Tribolium castaneum: one gene and its partner. The protein of the gene in region 1 interacts with the protein of each later gene in a pairwise test. Links are inferred from orthologs where the notes say so. Each region holds a gene or a part of one and is shown on either strand. Other genes may lie near its edges.

What was found.
Region 2: the proteins of veli (region 1) and Egfr interact in a two-hybrid assay, tested with the Caenorhabditis elegans proteins (3 studies listed by BioGRID). The link is inferred for Tribolium castaneum from reciprocal best matches to the Caenorhabditis elegans genes lin-7 and let-23.

What each region holds. Positions count from the first base shown.
Region 1 is NC_087394.1:2,339,983-2,343,184, reverse strand, and holds veli (protein lin-7 homolog C), read left to right. Parts: upstream 1-1,498; 5' UTR 1,499-1,619; coding exon 1,620-1,656; intron 1,657-1,706; coding exon 1,707-2,107; intron 2,108-2,154; coding exon 2,155-2,310; 3' UTR 2,311-2,641; downstream 2,642-3,202. Other genes in the region: ADP,ATP carrier protein 1, read left to right, coding at 1-81, 571-813.
Region 2 is NC_087394.1:3,686,459-3,690,286, forward strand, and holds part of Egfr (epidermal growth factor receptor), read left to right. Parts: intron 1-2,759; coding exon 2,760-3,828. UniProt on the Caenorhabditis elegans protein: Tyrosine-protein kinase receptor which, upon binding ligand lin-3, activates 2 signaling cascades: the let-60/Ras and MAP kinase signaling pathway and the let-60-independent phospholipase C-mediated Ca(2+) signaling pathway.

The DNA of each region.
Region 1 (3,202 bases):
TTCGGCTTCTTCGATACTGCCAAGGGAATGTTGCCCGATCCCAAGAACACACCGTTCCTCATCTCATTCCTTATTGCACAGGTAATTATATTGGACTCCAACCGGTGAACTGATTGATGGGCAAAGGACACACACCTAACCTTTGATTTGTTGTTATTTCCAGTTGCTGAAGCTGAAAAAGTGAAAGCAATTGATCCGAAGACCTATATCCTGAAATAGTAAGGTATCCCTCGTTACGAAATAGTGTCGTAACATTCCTCTCTTATCTGCTTCCAATTGTGGACGTGCGACGAGATAACTCTTATCACAATTGACCTTTGTGTAATAGAGTTCAGAACTATATTGTAACAGTTTTTTTGCACCATAAACAATTGCGATAAGATTAGATCGTCTGTTCCTATAAGAATTGAATGAATTTGTCCTTGAAGTTATTACACATGATGTGTTACACAAAACTGAGCCTACTTTGATGACTCTAGTTTACCACTACCCATTAACTGATGTCATTGATTGACTATCAGTTGTTAGTGATTTGTTTGATGTGTGTATTGATGACGTTTTTCTTGCCAGTGCGTAACGACAGTTTCTGGAATTACGTCATATCCATTCGACACCGTCAGAAGGCGTATGATGATGCAGTCTGGACGCGCTAAAGCTGATATTATGTACAAGAATACGTTGGATTGCTGGATCAAGATCGGCAAAACCGAAGGCCCAACTGCCTTCTTCAAAGGAGCGTTCTCTAACGTTCTCCGTGGCACTGGCGGAGCTTTGGTTCTTGTACTATACGACGAGCTTAAAGCTTTGCTCTAAACAGAAATAGTAGAATTATTACGGTTTAAATTATTAATTGTCTCATAATTTATTTGTTTCATTCCGTGGTTGATGCATTTTTTAGGCCGACATTCCTTTTTTTAACACTATCAGGCGCAGGAATTTACATTCCAGCAATTTTTTTTCGTTACACGGTTTTAATAATGGCATTGTAAGCTGAAGTATTGATAGCCCTGTATTTTAAATCCTGTATATTTTAACAGCCGTTTACCAATAAACAGTTGTGATAAGTTACTTTATTATTGTTTTTTTTCGTTATTGTTGGTAGTGTGAGACGTAATAAAGTTGTTAATATAGTTGAGGTCACGTGGTTTTATTCAGTTGTCGAATGCATTTCGTTGACCGCAAAACAATGTAAAAAAGTTGTCTTGTAAATGAGCTTGATTTGTGTAAATTCGGCAATAAAGACACTCGTAATCACTCAAGTTTTTCTCACGCAGACCCATTTTTTTAGGCAAATTTAAAATGAATAGCGTCCGTTAGCATTTTACAAAATTTAAAATTATCTAGGGACTTTTATTGTTGCTCTAACAAAGCGAGTAACAGTTAATACCAACCAAAATATTTCAAAGGGGTGGCTTTTATAAATTGGCTAAATCGGCCTTATTCATTTGCCTGCTAAATCCTTCTTTCTGGATTTAGTTTAAGAATCCCTTCAATAAAAAGTTTTATCAATTTCAAGTGCCAGAAGGCACAAATGTAGGGACATCTGACGTTTTTGGTTTAGTACCAACGTAGCTGTCATTTACCTGTCAAACAAAAGGATTGGCCCCAATTTTGCAAAAATGGCCCAAATCGGCGAACCATTGACCCTCCACCGAGGTAATCACATTTTTACTTAATTTTACGCAATTTTCCAACGTTTGTCATAGACATTAAGCGTTCCGTTGAGCTTTTGGAGAAGCTCCAGAAAAGTGGCGAAGTCCCGGCTACTAAACTCGCGGCCCTTCAGAAAGTCCTCCAGAGCGACTTTCTGAATGCAGTGCGCGAGGTCTACGAGCACGTTTACGAAACTGTTGATATTCAAGGGTCTCAAGACGTGCGAGCCTCTGCCACTGCTAAGGCCACAGTTGCAGCTTTCGCAGCCAGTGAGGGACATGCACACCCCAGAGTCGTGGAACTGCCAAAGACTGAGGAGGGTTTAGGGTTTAATGTGATGGGGGGAAAGGAGCAGAATTCCCCCATTTATATTTCTAGGATTATTCCGGGGGGTGTGGCGGATCGGCACGGGGGGCTGAAGCGAGGGGATCAGTTATTGAGTGTCAATGGAGTGGTGAGTGAGGTTTGATAAAGGGGTAAATATTAATAATTGTGGGGTAGTCTGTTGAAGGAGAAAACCATGAAAAGGCAGTGGAGTTGTTAAAACAGGCCCATGGCTCTGTCAAATTAGTGGTGAGGTACACCCCCAAAGTCTTGGAGGAGATGGAGTTAAGGTTCGACAAACAGAGGGCGAGAAGACGGCAGCAGTACAATTAAAAATAACTAGACAGAGTAGCCTATGACAAAGAAATTAAGTTGGCCACACTGAATTATTAGTAGTTTGAATTTGATAGTCAAAGTTAGAAACCCAAATTTCAAAGTCATAGGCTACTTTGACCAGACATTTAACCGAAATATGGTATTACATATTATTATTATTAGATTGTGTTGCATTTAAGGAATGATTGTATAGTTAGCACGATGTGCACTGGTCTCTAGAAGTACTGAATCTCAAGTACCCGTGTATTGACAAGTAATCCAAGTATTACATGTTTCCATTTTTTTTGTTATTTATGTTGTATTAAATAAATAATTACAAAAAACAAAATGGTTTCTTTGTTTTTTAATAAAATTTATTAAGTAACTCCCAACGTTGTATTTTACCGAATTATTTTTTAAATAAGGTTGATAAAAAATTTAAAAAAATTATTAAGGATTAACTTTCTCATTGAAACTATAAATTACATTAGACATCAATTTTTTGAAGTGCATAAACAATGCGCCGGTGGCGTTTTTATAGTTTTGAAACAGCTAATACGTGAGATAAACGTTGAGTATCAACAATTAATTGAAATAAAAGGTTTTGAGCCTTTTAAGTCGAACCTTACAAAGCCCACAACTACGGATCAGGGATTTTCGTTGAAAGTGAATGTGGTATTGAGACTTCTGTTACTTACACTTAAAATATTAAACACAACACTGGTTAGTTGTGGTGATTCGAATAAAAAAAATTGTATTCACAATTCGCGGCTTTCCTTTAGGGATTTTTGTGTGCGACTAGATTGGCAACGCTGGAAAAACACTGAGTAGCCGCCAAAAGTCATGGGTGGCTTCGTTTTTGTCTATTTTTTTAATTTGTCTGATTTCGTGTTTTCCTAGACTTGTGACT
Region 2 (3,828 bases), about 1.3 Mb from region 1:
TTTTTTAAATTTCCTAAGTTTTTACTTTAGGATTAAGTATTTCTAACTTAAAATGACCGGGGGAATCCAAATTTGCAAGAACCAAATCGCTACGACTAACCGTTCGGAAAATATCGTCAAAAATTTAGTCTTCTCACGATTTGTCTAAACCAAACTTTCTTAATAATTTTTTAATTTTTCGGAGTTATTTCCTTAGGATTAAGTGTTTCTAACGTAAAATGACCTCCAGAATCCAAGTTTGCAAGATTCAAATCGCTGCGACTAACCGTTCGGAAAATATCGTCAAAAATTTAGTCTCCTCACAATTTCTCTAAACCAAACTTTCTTCGTTATTTTTTAAATTTTCGGAGTTTTTTTCTTAGGATTAAATGTTTTCAACGTAAAATGACCGGCGGAATCGAAATTTGCAAGAATCAAGTCGCTACGACTAACCGTTCGAAAAATATCGTCAAAAATTTAGTCTCCTCACAATTTGTCTAAACCAAACTTTCTTCATTATTTTTCAAATTTTTGGAGTTATTTCCTTAGGATTAAGTGTTTTCACCGTAAAATGACCGGCGGAATCGAAATTTGCAAGCATCAAGTCGCTACGACTAACCGTTCGGAAAATATCGTCAAAAATTTAGTCTCCTCACAATTTGTCTAAACCAAACTTTCTTCATTATTTTTAAAATTTTCGGAGTGTTATCCTTAGGATTAAGTGTTCCTAGCGAAAAATGACCGGCGAAATCTAAATTTGCTAAAATCAAGTTGCTGCGACTAATCGTTCGGAAAATACCGTCAAAAATTTAGTCTCCTCAGAATTTACCTAAACCAAACTTGCTACATTATTTTTCAAATTTTCGGAGTTTTTTTCTTAGGAGTAAGTGTTTTTAACGTAAAATGACCGGCGGAATCGAAATTTGCAAGAATCATGTCACTACGACTAACCGTTCGGAAAATATCGTCAAAAATTTAGTCTCCTCACAATTTGTCTAATCCAAACTTTCTTCTTTATTTTTCAAATTTTTGGAGTTTTTGCCTTAGGATTAAGTGTTTCTAACGAAAAAGGACCGGCGGAATCGAAATTTTTAAGAGTCAAATCACTACGACTAACCGTTCGGAAAATATCGTCCAAAATTTAGTCTTCTCACGATTTGTCTAAACCAAACTTTCTTAATAATTTTTTAATTTTTCGGAGTTATTTCCTTAGGTTTAAGTGTTTCTAAAGTAAAATGACCTCCAGAATCCAAATTTGCAAGATTTAAATCGCTGCGACTAACCGTTCGGAAAATATCGTCAAAAATTTAGTTTCCTCACAATTTCTCTAAACCAAACTTTCTTCGTTATTTTTTAAATTTTCGGAGTTTTTTTCTTAGGATTAAGTGTTTTCAACGTAAAATGACCGGCGGAATCGAAATTTGCAAGAATCAAGTCGCTACGACTAACCGTTCGGAAAATATCGCCAAAAATTTAGTCTTCTCACAATTTATCTAAACCAAACTTTCTTCATTATTTTTCAAATTTTTGGAGTTATTTCCTTAGGATTAAGTGTTTTCAACGTAAAATGACCGGCGGAATCGAAATTTGCAAGAATCAAGTCGCTACGACTAACCGTTCGGAAAATATCGCCAAAAATTTAGTCTTCTCACAATTTATCTAAACCAAACTTTCTTCATTATTTTTCAAATTTTTGGAGTTATTTCCTTAGGATTAAGTGTTTTCAACGTAAAATGACCGGCGGAATCGAAATTTGCAAGAATCAAGTCGCTACGACTAACCGTTCGGAAAATATCGTCAAAAATTTAGTCTTCTCACAATTTGTCTAAACCAAACTTTCTTCATTATTTTTCAAATTTTTGGAGTTATTTCCTTAGGATTAAGTGTTTTCAACGTAAAATGACCGACGGAATCGAAATTTGCAAGAATCAAGTCGCTACGACTAACCGTTCGGAAAATATCGTCAAAAATTTAGTCTCCTCACAATTTGTCTAATCCAAACTTTCTTCATTATTTTTCAAATTTGTGGAGTTTTTTCCTGGGGATTAAGCGTTCCTGACGTAAAATGACCGGCGGAATCGAAATTTGCAAGAATCAAATCGCTGCGACTAACCGTTCGGAAAATATCGTCAAGAAATTTAGTCTCCTCACAATTTGTCTAAACCAAACTTGCTTCATTATTTTTCAAATTTTTAGAGTTTTTTTCTTTGGAGTAAGTGTTTTTAACGTAAAATGACCGGTGGAATCGAAATTTACAAGAATCAAGTCGCTACGACTAACCGTTCGGAAAATATCGTCAAAAATTTAGTCTCCTCACAATTTGTCTAATCCAAACTTTCTTCATTATTTGTCAAATTTTTGGAGTTTTTGCCTTATGATTAAGTGTTTCTAACGTAAAATGACCGGCGGAATCGAAATTTTTAAGAATCAAATCACTACGACTAACCGTTCGGAAAATATCGTCAAAAATTTAGTCTTGTTACAATTTCTCTAAATTAAACTTTCTTCATTATTTTTAAAATTTTCGCAGTTTTTTCTTTAGGATTAAGTGTTCCCAACGTAAAATGATCGGCGAAATCGAAATTTGCAAGAATCAAATCGCTACGATTACCCCGTTCGGAAAATATCGTCAAAAATTTGTTCTTTACAGACGGTTTAAGAACTCTAGTAATGCATTATTATGAATTTTTTTGGGGTCAATCAATCGCGCTTAGCTCGTTTTGCCTTCTACTCAAGTCCTAAACTGATGTAATAGTTATGAGTCGATTTTGTTTTCGTAGATGCAAGATCTGTTCCGGCTTCGGTTTCCACGAACTAGTCTGCCAAAAATGCACCCACTACAAGAAAGACGAGCAATGCGAAGACGAATGTCGTTCCGGTGACTACGCAGACGAAGAAGTCCAAGAATGCAAACCTTGCGACCCTGAATGTAAAGGCTGCACTGGTCCAGGTCCCGAAAACTGTATTTCCTGCGAAAATTTTAAAGTTTTCGACGACGGATACGTTTCCGAAAACTCTTCCTTCCGCTGCGTGTCCTCATGCCCACCTGAATTCCCACACCGGGTTTTCCCCGACAATGCCTTCTCCTACTGTTCCGACAAACCCTTGAACTTGCCCATCTCTGGTTTCGTCGACAATAACTACACTGTGGTGATCGCCACGGGAATCACTAGTGCGATCATCATCATCATCATAATCATAATTTTGGTGACTTGGTTTTTTCGCAAGAAGGTCAAGGCGGAAGAGAGCACCTTGAAGATGACCATGGCGTTGACTGGGCTCGAAGACAACGAACCGTTGCGACAAACGAACGTTTCGCCCAATTGTAAAAAATTGCGCACGATTAAGGAAACGGAAATCAGGCGGGGGGATATTTTGGGGTATGGCGCCTTCGGAACTGTCTATAAAGGGGTCTGGATTTTGGAAGATGAGAACAATTCGAAAATCCCAGTCGCGATTAAAGTCCTCCGGGACGGATCAACCAGTAGCAAAGAATTTTTAAGCGAGGCGTTTATTATGGCAAGTGTGGAACACCCTAATCTCCTTCAGTTGTTGGGTGTTTGTATGACTTCCGAGATCATGCTCATAACCCAGTTGATGCCTTTGGGTTGTTTGCTCGATTTCGTCCGAAAAAACCGCGACCGCATCGGCGCTAAAGCCCTTCTCAACTGGTCCACGCAAATCGCCAAAGGAATGGCATACCTGGAGGAAAAACGCCTAGTCCACCGTGACCTCGCCGCTCGCAACGTCCTAGTCCAAACCCACTCCTGTGTCAAAATCACCGACTTCGGCCTTGCCAAGCTCCTCGATGTGGACGAAGACGAGTACAAAGCAGCTGGTGGTAAAATG